Linked DNA regions of Arabidopsis thaliana. The protein of the gene in region 2 interacts with the protein of the main gene of each other region in a pairwise test. Each region holds a gene or a part of one and is shown on either strand. Other genes may lie near its edges. The genes, in order: LUT1 and AT1G06890.

Evidence for each region.
Region 1: the proteins of AT1G06890 (region 2) and LUT1 interact in a protein complementation assay, tested with the Arabidopsis thaliana proteins (one large-scale study listed by BioGRID).

The regions. Positions count from the first base shown.
Region 1 is NC_003074.8:19,691,214-19,701,136, forward strand, and holds LUT1 (Cytochrome P450 superfamily protein), read left to right. Parts: upstream 1-1,543; 5' UTR 1,544-1,598; coding exon 1,599-2,096; intron 2,097-2,245; coding exon 2,246-2,542; intron 2,543-2,631; coding exon 2,632-2,829; intron 2,830-2,918; coding exon 2,919-3,020; intron 3,021-3,118; coding exon 3,119-3,259; intron 3,260-3,328; coding exon 3,329-3,436; intron 3,437-3,597; coding exon 3,598-3,680; intron 3,681-3,777; coding exon 3,778-3,940; intron 3,941-4,035; coding exon 4,036-4,065; 3' UTR 4,066-4,478; coding exon of another isoform or gene 4,479-4,856; intron 4,857-4,965; coding exon of another isoform or gene 4,966-5,302; intron 5,303-5,410; coding exon of another isoform or gene 5,411-5,475; intron 5,476-5,842; coding exon of another isoform or gene 5,843-6,142; 3' UTR 6,143-6,329; downstream 6,330-9,923. Other genes in the region: VPS37-1 (Modifier of rudimentary (Mod(r)) protein), read right to left, coding at 1-15, 103-142, 573-660, 755-937, 1,264-1,277; AT3G53140 (O-methyltransferase family protein), read left to right, coding at 4,479-4,856, 4,966-5,302, 5,411-5,475, 5,843-6,142; UGT73D1 (UDP-glucosyl transferase 73D1), read right to left, coding at 6,523-8,073. UniProt on the Arabidopsis thaliana protein: Heme-containing cytochrome P450 involved in the biosynthesis of xanthophylls. Specific for epsilon- and beta-ring hydroxylation of alpha-carotene. Has only a low activity toward the beta-rings of beta-carotene.
Region 2 is NC_003070.9:2,107,729-2,116,279, forward strand, and holds AT1G06890 (nodulin MtN21 /EamA-like transporter family protein), read right to left. Parts: upstream 6,959-8,551; 5' UTR 6,708-6,958; intron 6,707-6,707; exon of another isoform or gene 6,496-6,706; 5' UTR 6,446-6,495; intron 6,362-6,445; 5' UTR 6,311-6,361; coding exon 6,190-6,310; intron 5,694-6,189; coding exon 5,509-5,693; intron 5,411-5,508; coding exon 5,343-5,410; intron 5,111-5,342; coding exon 4,978-5,110; intron 4,872-4,977; coding exon 4,710-4,871; intron 4,609-4,709; coding exon 4,336-4,608; intron 4,132-4,335; coding exon 4,000-4,131; 3' UTR 3,878-3,999; coding exon of another isoform or gene 3,857-3,877; 3' UTR 3,595-3,856; downstream 1-3,594. Other genes in the region: Plsp2A (Peptidase S24/S26A/S26B/S26C family protein), read left to right, coding at 1,104-1,790, 2,035-2,103, 2,190-2,258, 2,442-2,528, 2,630-2,697, 2,791-2,914; AT1G06900 (Insulinase (Peptidase family M16) family protein), read right to left, coding at 7,427-7,670, 7,793-7,914, 8,002-8,155, 8,246-8,349, 8,465-8,551. UniProt on the Arabidopsis thaliana protein: Nucleotide-sugar transporter that transports UDP-xylose and UMP in a strict counter-exchange mode.

The DNA.
Region 1 (9,923 bases), on a different chromosome or scaffold from region 2:
TCTCCAAGTTGTCTCCTGTTACATTTGATCAAATGGAAAGTTCTAGATTTCTGGATTGAACTAAAGTTTCCTGTAGAATTACATGAACCATAGAGTACTTACTAGCTAGCTGCAATGTTTCTCTACGGAGCTCATCTTTGATCTGACGGACAGAAACAAATCACGAAAAAATTAACGTCCAGAGACTATAACAAGGAACCAGAAAGCTGATGACATGATACAGGCTTTATCAAACAATATCAATGTATAGACTTGAAAGAGCACTAATGAATTATATCAACACAGAACTAAAGAAGCTACATATTCTTAGAGCTACAGATAAGACCCTCGGTTATCCAGAAACAACCGACTGTTTTAGAGACTATAACAAAGAACCAGAAAGCTCTAATTACTGGCAACATGTAGAAGATGACGCCATGATAAAGGCTTCCTCAAACAATATCAATGTATATACTTGAAAGAGCACCAATGAATAATATCAACACATAACTAACGAAGCTCCATTCTTAGGACTACAATTAATAGTAATACTCTTAGCTATCCAGAAACAACTGACTGTTTTAGAGACTTACATTATTCTGGACTTTGACCTGGTCAAGAGAGAGCAGAAATTGCTGATACGCATCTTTGTCAGAGAGAAGCTTCCTGAGTTCATCCACGCTACAGAAAAGTATACACTATTCAAAAAGAAGACATACAAAAAAAACGCACACTCGAGAGAAGGATAACAAACAAACAAACAAAAAGAGCAAACCTTTTGTCTTTCAAGAAGACGATAATGCCAGCTGCTTCACCCGGTGATACTTGTGCTGAAATCTGACCTGAACTTTGAGGCCGGGATGAGCTTGGCGAGCTAACTAAAGAAGGCGAGTACCATGGCGACTGTGAAGAAGCTTCCTGAGGACGAGATTGCCCTTGTTGTTGGTCTTTTGATCCCCTTCACGTACACAACAAAAAAAAGAAACATCATCAACTAACTATCTCAGCTTCCAAGTTAATATAATACATCACCTCATAAACTTGAAAGGTGCATTTATACAGCACATCATTGTAAACCTAATATCAGTAACTATGAACCCTAAATCAGTAGCTGAGCAAAATCTACACTTGTCAATTCACCTCAAAAACCTCAAATATATCATTATAGCTCAACAAACTACACAACAACAAGATTTCCTTAATCGCTAACAGACCTAATGTCTGGATCACGCAATTTCATCAATAACATATGAATCAGATGGCAAAAAATTCGCAAAATCATACCAGAAATTGAACATCGTTTCTAGAATTCGCCGACTAACGAAAGGAATTGACTTTTTCTTGTTCTCTTGTACTTCTTCTTCCTACCAGATCGACAAAATTTAACAACTTTACAGAAACAGAGTTTACAGAGTTTCAAAGAAAATTCGATCTTCTCTGTTTCGTTTCAGATTTTGCTACTTGCTTTTAAAAGGCCCAAATACGAGGAGGCCCATATTAAGTTTTGATTAACAAAACGTAGTCGTTTTATGCATCGTCGTCCTTATCCACGCGTAACGGTTCGCGTTTCTACACAGAGTCAAATATTTCTGCACGGAAGCTTCGAAAAGAGGTCATCAATGGAGTCTTCACTCTTTTCTCCATCTTCCTCTTCTTACTCTTCTCTCTTCACTGCAAAACCTACGCGTCTTTTATCACCAAAACCCAAATTCACATTCTCCATCAGATCCTCCATTGAGAAACCCAAACCCAAACTCGAGACCAATTCATCGAAATCCCAATCATGGGTCAGTCCCGATTGGCTCACAACACTCACTCGTACCCTTTCCTCAGGAAAAAACGACGAGTCAGGTATACCAATCGCGAACGCGAAGCTCGACGATGTCGCTGATCTCCTCGGAGGTGCTCTCTTCTTACCTCTCTACAAATGGATGAATGAGTACGGACCCATTTACCGTCTCGCTGCTGGTCCTCGTAATTTCGTAATTGTGAGCGACCCAGCGATAGCTAAACATGTTTTGAGGAATTATCCAAAGTACGCTAAAGGCTTAGTCGCTGAAGTCTCTGAATTTCTATTTGGTTCGGGTTTCGCTATCGCTGAAGGACCTCTTTGGACAGTAATTTCATCTCCTCCTATCTCAATTTTGAAGTTTTTGGAATTGTGGAAGTAATGTGTGACTGTCTTGTATGATAAGTAACTCTAATTTTAGGGTTTAGATTCCAATCTTCTCTATTGGGCTTAGCTGAAGTCTGATTTTTTACATAGGCGAGGCGTAGAGCGGTGGTTCCATCGCTTCACAGGAGGTATTTGTCTGTGATTGTGGAGAGAGTATTCTGCAAATGTGCAGAGAGGCTTGTTGAGAAGTTGCAGCCTTATGCAGAAGACGGAAGTGCTGTGAATATGGAAGCGAAGTTCTCTCAGATGACACTTGATGTCATTGGGTTGTCTCTTTTTAACTACAATTTCGATTCTTTGACTACTGATAGTCCTGTCATTGAAGCTGTTTACACTGCTCTTAAAGAAGCTGAGCTTCGTTCTACTGATCTTCTGCCATATTGGAAGGCAAGTTTCCTGTGTTTTTTCTGTGGTTTGTTGATTGTGTGGAACAATTGGATTCTTGTTAATTGAGAGGGTTTGGTTGTTTTTTTCAGATCGATGCATTGTGTAAGATAGTCCCGAGACAGGTGAAAGCTGAAAAGGCTGTAACTTTGATAAGGGAAACTGTTGAAGACCTTATTGCTAAGTGTAAAGAAATTGTCGAAAGAGAAGGCGAAAGAATCAATGATGAGGAGTATGTAAATGATGCTGACCCAAGTATCCTGCGTTTCTTGCTTGCAAGCAGAGAAGAGGTTTAAACTTTTTTCCTTAAGTTTATAAGCAAATTTGGCCTTTCATTATCGCATAATCGAAGCTGATGTTGCATTGTGAGGGTTTTCAGGTATCAAGTGTGCAGTTACGGGATGATCTTCTCTCAATGCTCGTAGCGGGTCATGAAACCACTGGATCTGTCCTCACTTGGACACTTTATCTCCTAAGTAAGGTACCTTAATGTATCTTCTACTTTGCTATGCTAGAGAATTTACTTGGATGGGAGCTTCTCTGTTCTCATTTACCTCTTCAAATTCTCTATGTTCATAGAACTCATCTGCATTAAGGAAAGCACAAGAAGAAGTAGACAGAGTGTTAGAAGGAAGAAACCCGGCTTTCGAGGATATAAAGGAGTTGAAGTACATCACTCGTTGTATAAACGAGTCAATGCGTCTCTATCCTCATCCTCCTGTAAGCAATCAAGCTCATCTCTCTAATTATTCATGAACTAAATTTTCTGATTGATTTGTTTCCTGGTAGGTCTTGATAAGAAGAGCTCAAGTTCCTGACATTCTTCCTGGGAACTATAAGGTCAATACCGGACAAGACATTATGATTTCAGTCTATAACATCCATCGTTCTTCCGAGGTACAGTTCTCTTCCTTCTCTCGTCCATAGTATAACATAGGGGAGCCTAATCCTTCTCTTCAATGATCTTTGTGTGGTTCGGATATCTAACCGGAGTGGACATTCCTAGTATTACATTCATGCCCACATTTCTTATGTGTTTGTTGTTTGTTATTCCAAAGGTATGGGAAAAAGCTGAGGAATTTCTGCCTGAACGATTCGACATAGATGGCGCAATCCCTAACGAAACAAACACTGATTTCAAGTAAACTCAGTAGAACACATCTTTTGACACAAACTACTGAATCAAGATTAGTGGTTTTGATTAGGGAATTTAAAAGATGATTTTCTTTTTTCACCAGATTCATCCCATTCAGTGGAGGGCCTAGAAAATGTGTAGGCGATCAGTTTGCATTGATGGAGGCAATTGTGGCACTCGCGGTGTTTCTTCAGCGGTTAAACGTTGAGCTGGTTCCTGATCAGACCATTAGCATGACCACAGGAGCAACCATACACACCACCAATGTATGCCAATGTTCTCACACTCGAGAGATTAATGAGAGTGTCTGTTTTGTTTAGAATGATTCCAATTTCTCTAATGCTGATATTTTCAATTTCAGGGATTGTATATGAAGGTGAGCCAAAGGTAAAAACCAGAATTTATGTTTTCATGATAATTGATTGGTGTGAATGGACTTGTTTCATAGTACTCTTGAGAAATAACCACAAAAAAATGAATTATGGAAAATAGTTGTACCATCGGAAATGTGAATTTTGAACAGTGAGATGCTAGTACCATTAAAGTTTGGTAATTGTGTTATCATTTCAAATCAAACTTTCATACAGCTTGTGTTTGTTCTCCATTTTTCAGTAATTACGAAAATCAAAATTTTATTTTTTTTTGAATTTCTAAATAATAGACTAAGGTCTAAAACCATCCCATTCCATATGGACCACACGTAACATTAACCTTAAAAACCATATAAAACCATATAAAACCAATACTAGTGGGTTCTATAGCGATGTGTAGTTTCACTTTCACGTACGAGGAAGATTAAAAAAAATGGAGAACGAAAGCTCAGAGAGTAGAAACAGAGCTCGTCTTGCCATTATGGAGCTTGCTAACATGATTAGCGTTCCCATGTCTCTCAATGCCGCCGTGCGACTAGGCATTGCCGACGCCATTTGGAACGGCGGAGCCAATTCTCCTCTCTCTGCCGCCGAGATCCTCCCTCGCCTCCACCTACCATCTCACACTACCATTGGTGGCGACCCCGAGAATCTTCAGCGTATACTTCGGATGCTCACCAGCTACGGTGTCTTCTCCGAACACCTTGTTGGATCCATTGAGAGGAAATACTCTCTTACGGACGTCGGAAAAACTCTTGTAACCGACTCCGGCGGCCTCTCTTACGCTGCCTACGTCCTCCAACATCACCAGGTTTATGACTCATTTTCATTTTCCAAAATTGGAGTGATATATTAAAGGACTAATGATGGTATAATAAACTAATGTCTAAAACTTGTTGTGAAAATGATATATATTACAGGAGGCGTTGATGCGAGCATGGCCACTAGTTCACACGGCAGTGGTGGAGCCGGAGACAGAGCCGTACGTGAAAGCAAACGGCGAGGCGGCATACGCTCAGTATGGGAAAAGTGAGGAGATGAATGGTCTAATGCAAAAGGCAATGTCTGGCGTATCTGTACCGTTCATGAAAGCTATATTAGACGGCTACGATGGGTTTAAATCAGTGGATATTTTGGTTGACGTAGGAGGTAGTGCAGGGGATTGTCTGCGTATGATCCTTCAACAATTTCCTAACGTCCGTGAAGGGATTAATTTCGATTTACCTGAAGTTGTTGCCAAAGCCCCCAATATTCCTGGTGAGATTTTGTATTTATGATATATTGTACGTACGTTATTTTCTGAAAGTAAAAAGCTATTTTTAGTAATGTACGGAGTAATAATGGATGATATATTGTATGGTTTAGGAGTGACTCACGTGGGTGGGGATATGTTCCAATCAGTTCCTAGCGCTGACGCTATCTTCATGAAGGTTTGTTGTAACATTATTGTCTGTCACGAGAATACACCTACTAACATTTTTGCTAATAGGACGAATTCTAGTTTCTGTATATAGTTTTAATGTTTAGTGATATAGGTATAAATTTATAAGTCGCTTCGGACAATATGTTTGGTAGTATATAGTCTTAGTTATCGTTAGATCATGCGACTGGTCACTTTCATTTATTTATGATCATTTAAATATTGATTATACATTTCTCAAACCAAAAACTTGTGATCTGTTAGACCATGGATAGGGATCTCATGTTTGTTGAAAGAACAACACAAACAAATACACACATTTTTTGCTTCTCTGGTCCCAAATTAATATCTTGTAATATTGTTGTTTGAGTGTAAAGTGGGTGTTAACGACATGGACGGATGAAGAATGCAAGCAGATAATGAAGAATTGCTACAACGCGTTACCAGTTGGAGGAAAGCTGATTGCGTGTGAGCCGGTCTTGCCTAAGGAAACCGATGAAAGTCACCGGACTCGTGCCTTGTTAGAAGGTGACATCTTTGTCATGACCATCTATAGAACCAAAGGTAAGCATAGAACCGAAGAAGAGTTTATAGAGCTTGGTCTCTCCGCGGGATTCCCTACTTTTCGACCTTTCTACATTGATTACTTCTACACCATCTTAGAGTTTCAGAAGTAATATTCAAGCATTTTTCTTCTCATATTTCTAAAAGCTTCAAAATAATGAATCAAAAGACCTCTTTGTTAATTGAGTTGAGATATCTAGTGAAGACATTAATATTTTCATCAAGATGTAATAATCTAAAGTCTATATTCTAAGTGCATCCTTAAAAGGCATTTTCCATATATATAAGTTTCATCTTTCGAGAAAAAGGAAAAAAGACTCTTTAAGTGATGATTTCAAGAGTATTTCTAAATCACTCATTAGGCTAAGAGAAGAGTTCGAAAGTATACATATTATGCACATTATATCTATATGAATTTTTCTTCTTTGGCAAAAAGAAAAATCGTTTGGTGTTATTCTTATAAATCTTATGTCAACTTCTACATTCGATTTTTCTACACGAGACTCAATTGCTCCAAAACATCTTGGATTAAAATTGAAACGTTAATACTCGAAGATCCCTTTTCTTCCACAGCCTTTTTCGCCATTACTGCAAGTTCTTGAATACGTCTCCTTCGTCTCACGAATTCATTATCATCATCATTTTCGTCTACACGTTGACAATCTTGGTCCATCAAAAGCTTTATAGCTTTCACAACACTCGGTTTCTTGACCAACACTCCAAGTCTCTCCTCGTCTCCCCATCTCACCGGAATCTCCACCCCAACCCTAACCCCGATGTTCAAAACCTCCACGATGAGTTTCTCATTGAGAAATTGTTCAGCGAACAACGGCCATGTGATCATTGGTACACCAAAACATATCGCTTCTATTGTAGAATTCCAACCGCAATGAGTCAAGAACCCGCCGGTTGAACCATGTGAGAGTATCATAGCCTGAGGACTCCAACCCTTTATTACTATCCCTCTTCCTCTAACTCGCTCTTCAAAATTTTCGCGTTTTAGCCATTCGTCTAGCTCAATCATGTGTTTTTCCTCGGTCTTTATCACCCAAATAAAGGGTTTTCCCGATTCTTCTAACCCTAAACCTAGTTCTATCAATTGATTAGGTATTAGTCGACAGAGGCTACCAAGAGAAACATATAAGACTGACCTTGGTCTCATCGAGTCAAGAAACTGCAAGCATTCGGTCTCGCTTATTGCGATGTTACCATTACTTCCTCTATCGAATAGGTCAGCCATACGGTCGTTGCATAAAGAAACGGGTCCAACGAACCATACCTTCTTATTGATGGCCTCAGCGTAGGCCTCTGCATAGCCAGGCTCCAATTCCTGGAAGCTATTAACAATAACCCCAAAGGCTTCTGATTCAGATTCACGCATCTTCTCGCGAACGTCATCCATATTTGCTAACTTCTCAAAAGCACCAGGTAACTGAGCTCTAGCTATCTCAATCCTATGTGGCATTCCTGGTATAGGGAATGGCTCTACGGCCGAAGAAACCGAGAGGTGCGGGCTATGAAGATGGATATTGTGCGAACTCAAAAGAGAGAAGCAACACATTCCATGGAACACGATCCTCGGGATTTTGAACCTCTTTGCGGTTCTTGACGTCCAAAAAAGGCATTTATCGGAGATTATGCAACTTGGAGGGATATCTTGTTGCTCAAGAAACCGTTCCATGGGCTCTTGGAGTTTATCCACAGCGTCATAGAATCTTCGTAGGAGGTCTTTGGAGGGCAAAGTGTCCAGAGTCTCACAATCTTTGGGAAGACCGAATTCTTTGTAAGGAATTGGAAATTTAACGACATTGATTTCGAGACCCGACTCTAATCTTGCTCGGTCAACTGTCTTCGCAAACCTAGAAGCATTTTGAGGGGTTGTAACTATGGTAACGATGTTGCCTTGTCGTGCAAGAATCTTGGAGATGTCGACCATGGGGATCAGATGCCCTTGAGCCATGAGAGGGATCAAAACAAAGTGAAGTCTTTTGGCTTTTGAAACTATTTTTGATTCCATTTTTGGGTTTAGCAAATGTTTATGCATATACAAAATTCGACAATGTGTATATACGTGTGTGAATGCATCTGGTGAGAGACCTTTAATTAATTGGGAAAGTCATCAAAAGCTGTATATATATACTGACTTTGAACAAGTCACCAAAAAAGAACTATTGTTTAGAGAACCAATCATGTACCCTCATTCTTATAAAAAAAAATCGCTGACGGTGATGAGTTACGTCATTCATGACACTTAATGAGTTACATAAGATAAAACTTCAAGGAAAATATATATGTGAGGAAAACTTCAAGGAAAATTCACAAATGAAACAAAAAAAAAAATGTTGAGTTATCCAGTGAGATATGTAAATTTAAGTTAAAAGAATCTTATCTTAAATATTTATTAGTAAAACAAGTTAAATATTCACTGACACTTACGAAAAGACAACTATATATATAAAAATATCGTTATCTTAATTTGGTTTATTTTGTATTACGACTTCTGTATAAAGAAGTACCAAGTAGGTCAAGCTTGGCCGATGGGGCTGTTAGAGTTCCATTGATTATGGTTTTGTCTCCACCTAAAGATAGATTATTTGTTTGGTTATCACATGATCGATCACATCGTTAATCTACATGAGTTTCATTTAATTTCTTTCCGGTGTGTTCAAAGAGATCGATTTGTTAATGCAAATGAAATCAATTTAAAATTAGCACTCGATAGAATTTCAACACATTTGTACAAGAGTTCACGTTGAGCTTTAAATTGAACAAAAGAAGAAGAATTAGGACTTCTAATTTTATACAAAATGTGATTTTATTTTCCTCATAATAAAGAGTCTTTTTTGCGTAGGTTTAGGTTCACGGAGTTCCTGTTTTTCTTTGTTCCAAACATTGGTTCCAAGATCGCATGAAAGAAAGAGAGAAGGAAAACAAAATCAAAGGCGCTATCTCAAAGTCAAGATAGATTGAACAAGATATGATATTCGATATGTAATTTTTTAATTTATATTTTTGGAATCAAATTCATCTGGTTGTAATGAACGAATCTATAACTTTTTTATTTTTTTTGGGCAAACGAATCTATACTTTTGATGCGAAATGATTGAGATATTCTATAAAGTTATTGTCTATCAGAATATGTATACTAAAAAGATTATTTTGATGACTAATTAAGAACAAGATAATGTATGGAAAGAAAAAAAGATAATGAATGACAACTTGGATATATTTTTATATATTAATGTATGATCTCAACCCTCGGTTATGTAGGTTGCCCATCGAAATATATTGGAGATTAAGCCTTTAAAAAAAAAAAATATATACATATATTGGAGATTGGGAAAAAATACTTCCCAAGTTTAATTTTTTATCATCAAAAGTTCATAAAATATTTTAAGTCAAGGCATTTCTACAAACTAATTAGGAAACTATATACCTAGCTAGCTAGCTTTTAGCCCAAGAAAATCATATAGTTGTGATAGTTAATTTAAGCATTCGTTTTGAATAAACAAACACCAAACACCACGGCATATTTTCCTTATCTTTTTAGAGTTCCGTCTGAAAAGGACATATTTTTTTGTCTGCATGAAAAAGGACTCTTTGAAACGTTCAAATTGTGCGTATGTGGCGAACAAACCAACGTAAGACCAGTTCAACTTTTGGAATATTGGAGCATTGACGTGTATCACTCATACCTTTTGGGTAATCTTAATTTGTCTCTATATTGATGGGATTTTAAATATGAGTCCTTGTCATATATTTTTTTTTTTTTGATAAGCAGGAGGTTCGGGGCCTAGACCCTTAATCCATGCAGGGTCCGGAGAAAACCAGGTGAAAGTCTCTGGCCAAATAAAAATAACTAGCAATTTCACGCCTGAGGGGAATCGATCCCTG
Region 2 (8,551 bases):
AAAAACAAAACAAAACATGCCGATAGACAAATTCTAATCCGTATGAAGCCTCGATGTATCTTGAGCACAATATAAATATTTGATTAAATAGAAGCATTTGGGAAGACAACGAGAGATTAGTGTTTGGCTAAAAGAAAAAAAAACGAAACAGAATCCATTTTGTTAATTAGGTTGTGGTCAAACTCAACCCAACTAAGTTAACGACTAATTATTTAAAGATAATACTGATTAATTAAGAAATATCAACGAAGCTTCGGGCGAACCTTAAGAGAGAGATGACGTATGTGCTGCGGTCATTCACTTTCTTTATAGTTTTCCACATACACACTCCTGCGCCCGGTCCCAGAGCCTTTACCTTGTTACGTCTCTAGTTCATAACTACATGTCTACCATGTATTATAGGGATATCAAAATGGTCTATACATGATTCATTATTTCATATATCTAGGTTATATATTATTTTCTTATAGTTGATTTATAAACACCAAAATATCTTTAGCAAATGTTAATATGTGACAACTGACAAGAAACATAGGTTGTGCTAATGTCTTTACTTTAAAATTCAAATCGGCTTAAAAAATTATGTTCTTACGAGCAAAAGATTGAAAAAAAAACGATGAAATTTATCGTGTGCTTTTATTAATTGTACATCTAAAAATGTATTAAACAATTTTGCTCAGTACAACAAAATTCACAATTGTAATTTTGTGAAATACCCACTCCACCATCTTTTTATCAGATAATTCTAATTTATTTTTGTCAATGTTATAGCCATTTTTGATACTTGCGTATTTAATTATGGGATATTATGAATAGAAATTGTATATTTAAAGGCCCATTTTTGGCCCTAAATGTAATTGATGACTCAACTCAACCAACAACAAGAAGAAGAAGACTCTCTCTGCTTTCGACCAAAACCTTCTCCTCTCCTCTGGGAGATCTCCATCTTCTTCGCTTCTTCGCTTCCCCGCCTGAAACAATTACTCGATCTCGCCGGCGGAACAAGCTCTCCGTTTCTCTTTCCGGCAGATCGATTCTTCCAATTCCTTATTCCTTTCTAGGTCTTCCTTAAGAAACCCTTACTTTCTTCAAAATCTGCATTTATGGCGATTAGGGTTACCTTCACCTACTCCAGCTATGTTGCTAGGAGCATTGCTTCATCCGCCGGGACTCGTGTCGGTACCGGCGACGTTAGATCATGCTTCGAAACATGGGTTCGTCCCAGGTTCTGCGGCCACAATCAGATACCAGATATTGTTGATAAATCTCCCGGATCCAACACATGGGGTCCAAGCTCAGGCCCTCGTGCTCGACCAGCTTCATCAATGTATAGCACCATTGCGAGGGAAATCCTCGAAGAAGGCTGCAAGAGTCCACTTGTCTTGGGTATGATCTCTCTCATGAATTTGACTGGAGCTCCACAGTTTTCGGGTATGACCGGTCTCGGGATCTCTCCCTTTAAGACTTCTTCTGTCATCCCGTTCCTTAGGGGTTCCAAGTGGATGCCTTGTAGTATTCCGGCGACGTTATCAACGGATATTGCTGAGGTTGATAGAGGAGGAAAGGTCTGTGATCCTAAAGTGAAGTTGGAGTTGAGTGATAAAGTCTCGAATGGTGGAAACGGATGGGTTAATAAGCTGTTGAATATCTGCTCGGAGGATGCTAAGGCTGCTTTCACGGCGGTTACTGTTTCTCTCCTTTTCCGATCGGCTTTGGCCGAGCCAAAGTCTATACCTTCAACATCTATGCTTCCTACTCTCGATGTGGGTGATCGTGTTATAGCCGAGAAGGTGAGATTACTGGTTTGTTCTGTTCTTAATTGTGACCGTAGAATGATGTTTGATCTTGAGAGGTTTTTAAAATGACGGCTTTAACCAATTCTGCATTGTTGGAACTAAAATTTGTTATTGGAAATGGTCTTAAATGTGTTTCTTCTTACATAAGAAATGCACATTGATCTTTTAATTGGTGATGTGGCTTAATCACACTAAACCATTGTGATCAAATCTGTCTATTTGCTTTGGTGTTGGACAGGTCTCATACTTTTTCAGGAAGCCAGAGGTTTCAGACATAGTTATCTTCAAGGCTCCTCCTATTTTGGTGGTATATATCTCAAATCACTATTTCTGGGTTTTCAAATGTTCTTAGACCTTTTTCAAAGGTGCTTGATACTCTCCTTTGAATTGCAGGAACATGGTTACAGTTGTGCTGATGTTTTCATAAAAAGGATAGTTGCTAGCGAAGGTGACTGGGTTGAAGTAAGCCCTTATCTCTAATCCACTTGTTGATTGATCCTATTCTCCATTGAAGTCTTTGGTCATCTTTATCGGTATTACTTATGTAGTGGCTTCTTGATGACCAGCCTCCTCAAAACAGACTCTTAACCTTTGTTTCTGTTGTTGTTATATTCCTGTCTAACCTATTGATGCTGTATCATATAGGTTTGTGATGGAAAGCTCTTAGTAAATGACACTGTTCAAGCAGAGGATTTTGTCTTAGAGCCAATTGACTATGAAATGGAACCAATGGTAAGCAAACTTGCGCTTGCTTATTGAATGTTTTCTCGACCTAAAAATTATTAGAAGAATGCTGCTAACTTGATCTCTTTCTTTTTCCTGTTTATTTGCAGTTTGTCCCTGAAGGTTATGTCTTCGTCCTAGGAGACAACCGCAACAAAAGCTTTGATTCTCATAACTGGTAACCACTTTCGAATATATTATTAATGGTTGTTCTGTCTTGGTTATGGGAACTCTGTTGATTCATGGATGATGTGGTGAATGTAAAACGCAGGGGTCCACTTCCAATAAAGAACATCATAGGGAGATCTGTGTTTCGCTATTGGCCACCAAGCAAAGTGTCAGACATAATACACCATGAACAAGTTAGCCAAAAGAGAGCTGTTGATGTATCTTGACCAACGCAGATGGTATCTTAGGATTAAGCAGAAAATTTGATTAGATGAGCTGTGCCATGCCAACCATTTTGGCGCTGAAGGCAACAGAGCAATTCTTTCTTCCTGTCTAGGCTTGATGGCGGACATGGAATGCACTGGGAAATCCATATAAAAAGAACAAGAAAATTGATATTTTTGCTTTGATTTTTTTTGATGTGTTGAAACCTAAATGCATCCAGTGTAATTGGCAGTAGCTGTCAAACATAAAAGGGTAAACTTTCTTTTTTGAGTATTTAATGTGAAGAATCCTGTAAACGTTCTGTTCTCAAGCTCTTGAACATAATTGGTTCTGTGGAATTTGCAGGCTATTTTGGCAGATACAAGATATTAATAGTTTGTATAAACTTAAAATGCAATATTTCAAAAATAAAAATTAAAAATAGAGCTCAGAGTAGGCGAAATCATCTGATATTCAGGAGAATGCATTGGACCCAACCAATACTAAAGCCAATTTCATCACAGCTCATGCACCAGCCGGGAATCGAACCCGGGTCTGTACCGTGGCAGGGTACTATTCTACCACTAGACCACTGGTGCTTTGTTGAACCTTACGCTATGTTTTAAAATAAATACCAGAAACCTTTTTTTTTACTCTCATCAAAATGGTTTGGTCAAGATATGGAATAACTGAATAAGAATTGGGACAAGTTGGTAAGAAAGCTAGAATGAGTTGTGTAGATTCATAGAAAAGAGTCTAAAAATCAAATATATGTTTTCAGTGTTGATGAATATAGCCACAGCCTTTTGAATACAGAGTTGTAATACTAAATCCAAAAAAAAAAAAAAAAAAAAAAGAGAGCTGCTGTGTATAATAAAATGGATCATCAAAGCTGTTCCCTTTTCTTCCCCTCACTCTCTACTTTCTTCTTTTTTTCCATATGGTGTGGAAGGTTTGTTGATTTTTCAGTCTCCCCTACTTCTCTGCTATGCATATTTAAAAAGGGAACAAAAAAAAAAAAAAAGAGAAATTAAAAAGTTTGTGTTTTTTTGGGGACAATACAAAGAGAGTTTGATATTATATAAAAAAATAGCGATGATCAAAGCTTTTAGGCTTGAAAATCTTTATTTGAGTTCCATACAGGAGCCACCGTCTTTTGCTGCACTCCCCCGCCGCCATCTGATAACACTCCGCTTCCATTTTCAGCTGCTATTAGCGGATCCTTCTCGCTCTCTTTCATCTGACAAACCCGAGTAAACCAAATTAAGCAATATAACAAGTCAGTATATATAGATAGACCTGAAAAAAGCCTATGATACTGATGCTTTTTTATAGCAATCTAATTGCAAAATCAATGGTACTATAAAAAGGAATATGATTTGAGGGACTCATCTAATTACCAACAGAAATATATTAGAGGGAACAGAGAGATGAAGAAATATACCTGAGGCAACTGAGTTGAGGTTTCACTTGCCTTCTGCTGAGTCTCAATCGAGCAGTAATAGGAATAAACAACCATTCCAATCACAGCCACTAGAATACCGAGAATGTTGCGCCAGTCGAATGGGTCTCGCAGCAACACATAGCCAAATGCTAGAACCAGGCATGTTTTGAGATGTCCTAGAACCTGATATGTGACAGGAGATGTTTTTCCAATGACAAGAAATGTGCTGAAGTTTACAGAGACTGATATGAGGCAAGACAGGACGATGAAGAACTGCAATCAACAAAGAAGCACTCGTTAATATGCAGGATCGACATGGAAGCAAGAAGATCAGTTAATAAGTTTGGTAGAATCCCCGGGAAATTGAGTCTCACCACTACTTGAGAAGTGTACTTGAAAGCAAACACGTTCTGATTGGTTAGGAGCCCATCTAAAAATGGCCCAGTGACGAAAAGAGTGATTGCTTGATATGGGCAAGACTGATACAGAAGCTGCGTGGATGAAACTTTGAACTTCTTCTGGATGGTATTTGTCATCTGTGTACAATTGGTTAAGATAACAGCATCGAATTGGTTTAAGACAAGATATATAGAAAGGTGAAAGAATAAAGCAATGAGAAACCAAAGGCTAGGCATAGGATACAATTTGAGCAACACAAGTTGTGACAACAGCCAGCAGCGACAAGACAGAACCCAGCATATTAAGTTGAAGATCTGTGACGGTTGCAATTCCAACACCAAGGAGAAGGATGGTTAATGAAAACTGGATTTTTCGACTGCAAAGAAAAAAAATAAGGGTGTCATTAACTAGGCCCTTGACCACAAACTAGCGAGAGACATAACGCTATCACTAAGTTGCTCAACTATTACACAGTATATAAAATTAGAACTTTGGATTAAGTCAACCAGAAATGCATGACCATAAGAAAAATATAGATGTCATGTAAAACAGCTTCCTCCAAATCAATAATTATTCACGTGTTAATGGAAGAGAATTTGAGTGCTAACCTGAACTTTTTCCTGAAGAAGAGGGTCTCCAAGAGAACAGTGCAGGGGATGATAGCTAGTTTAGTCATCTATTATCAACGGAACAGAAGATGGGTTAGAAATTAGAACAACACTAGTTAAAAATGGATATCACATCATGCAGTAACTGAAATGGAAAAAGCTATACCTGGTAAAAACCGACAGAATTAAAGCCCAGGCTGAGGTTCAATAGTCCTATGGATATCCCATTCAATATGCCAAATCCCATCACAGCTCGTGGATCAAAAGGCTTGTGTTCGAACATCTTCATCCATAATGCCACATGAAGGGAACAAAATGTGACCAAAAGATGCCAACTTGTCAAAGTAGTCGCTGTACATACAAAATAACAAGAGTAAGAACAGATAGCTTATGAGATCAAAATTGCATAAGATGACATAAAAGCTGTTATGGCAACACAGACATCAAAATGGGATAAAACAGTGTCTTGCAAGTATAATAATACTACATAAGAATCAATGGTGTATCCTAGGAAAGAATATTGAGTCATACAGAAAAGAAGAGGAGCACCTAAATTCTAAAGCGATAAGAAACAATCTTAAACATATACAATCATGAAGGCAATTCTCGTTTATGTACCATAAGGGACCTAAAATATAACCAACAGACAATTCAGAACATAGTATGAAGTAAAATGATCAACAATCTATTCCTCAATTTCATCAAATAAGAGAAGGCTCGAAACGAATCGCGCAGAGTAAGCATTAGTATACAAACACAAGAATAGATCCAGAGGAAACAATATCAGCAGCGCAACATGGATAATCAAAGGAGCCTGTAACAGTGAAGGAAGAATTGAAAAGGTTACCGAATGTGAAGCCAAGGGTGCTAATAAGCGCTTTGTTACAGATCACAATCGAGACAGATGACACAACGGACAAACTCAAAGCGCCGATTGTTCCCAACTGGAACTTCTGGCCCTCGCTCATCTTCGCTCTCCTAATTTATCTCTCGCTTCTTCAATCACGATCTACGATGATCTAATCCACCAAAAATTATACAAGGAATGATAACGGTAGACAGTAAAACGTGAAGAAAACAAGAGCGATCTGGAGAAAACGAACCTCATTCGTGCATAACGTAAACGTAAATGCGAAGCTTAAGGCAGCTCGAGCTGAAGCAAAATGGAGAAAATAGAAACTCGTTAGATAAAAGAGTGGGAGAACGAAGGAGATTTATTGAAAGCCAGAAGCCATAAACCCTAGATCTGCCGTTATGAGACAGAGATCAAAGAAATCAGTTGAAGGCAAAATTCAAGAGACGCGAAATGAAACAAGGAGAACATAAGGAAGGAGAAAGAGGGAAGAGAGAGAGAGAGAGACTCACAGGAGAATTGGAGAACCAGAGAGAATTCAAAACTTCGACGGAGGAGAAGAGATTCAGATTAAGCCTATTTTCTGCAATTTTTGATGGTCTTCACTCACCACCGTACAGAGAAAAATAGTGAGAGAGAGGAAGAAGAAAGATAGTTTTCGCTTTCTACGTTTGATAGGCCCTACCAGAGAGAAATTAACCGCGGGATATAATCGTAATTATCAAACAAGCTATTCATGATCCACGTTCACATTTGATTTTTTACCGTTGGTTATTTATGTAAGACATTCACTGTACAATCAAAGGTCATTTTATACTTTCTTTTCATTTATTGTTCCAGTGGACATATACCTGTCATTAAGGAGAAAATTGTTCCAAATGGGATTTTTCTTAGTGAGAGTTTCGATGGTTATTTGAAGTAAGTTTTTATCGATTGATAACTTTTTTTTTCTGTCTGTTTTTTAGTTTTGCTGCTTCTTTTTGGGTAAATGAAATCTATACATTGTATAAGATAATGCTTTTCTAATCAATAAATATCAAATTATCCACCAGATAAAAATAATAATTTAAAAAGCGTATTCTCAAATCGTAACAAAAAGGGATATTTTTGGTGTTTGTCACCCAAAAGTATAACCTATCCAATGAGGGTATGAAGAAAATTGAGTGAATCAAAATATAAAAGATAAAAAAAAGGGAAGACGAAGCAAAACTCTTTTGTATGTTTCTTCTCATTAGCAAAGGCTGGGGTAAAACTTAGAAGTTGACTTGAAAGCCACTGCGTCTGCGATGACCTGCACCGCCTTTTGATCTGTTTGAGTTTCTTTCATATTGGTATCGCATCCCCAAACCCTTACCGCAAGCCTACGACATTTGGGTGATGATTCTCTGAAATAGGTTTTGTACCAACTGATCACATCTTTCTTCTGTATACTTCTTAGTTCTTCTGCTTCTTTGTGGGAGAAATCAAACATGTACCTGTGAGAGAGTTAACTCCATTTTCATTCGCCAGTGACCGTTGTGGATATGGATCCAAGTAAATCATTGAAAGTTCTATAGATACTACAGGTCACATAACTTCAAACCCTTGAGATCCTTACCTTTTGTCAACAATCTGACTCCATAAGTCATTTGTCTCGGACAAGAGAGAGGGATCCTTTTCCAGCAATCTAGCAATCATACCACTTCGGTAATCTTCATAGGATTCATCATCCAGTTGTTCCTGCAATTACAGTCCGATTAACATATGTGGAGCGAGGTAAAGATTTAACAAAAAAAATCAATATATTCTTTTTGATTACAGACTTACCAGAAGCCCTTCGATATCTTTTATGAAATTGTCAACTCTCCCCAGCAAATGAACTGGACCGTACTTAGAAGATTGAACACAGAAACAGAAACCGTGCACACGATACGTTAAGCGAGGGCCACACTCGACAACATAACCAAGCTGCTCCTTTGTCCTATATCCAAAATATGTATATATATGTGTGACTATACATGAATACAATTTTGATCTATTAAAAAAACTAGGTAAACATGTGATGACTAACCTCAACTGATTGAACAATGGCTCTTCTATGATTTCATGAAAGAGATCCAGCACAGCTTTCGTTCTCGTTGATTGAGCTTCTTCAGGCTCGATTTGATAGTAAAGCTGCAAATCAGATGCAGGTTAAAATTCAAAACCATGATTATACCCGAGGAAAGTACAATGTTTTCAACTCTTCTTGGCTGACTCTTATCACAAGAAAATACTGTTTCCTTTTTACCTCGACTACTGAGTTTGTTTCAGATTTGTTCTTCACATTGACATCTCTCACAAGTTTGGCACCCATAGGGAAACATGTTATCTGTTC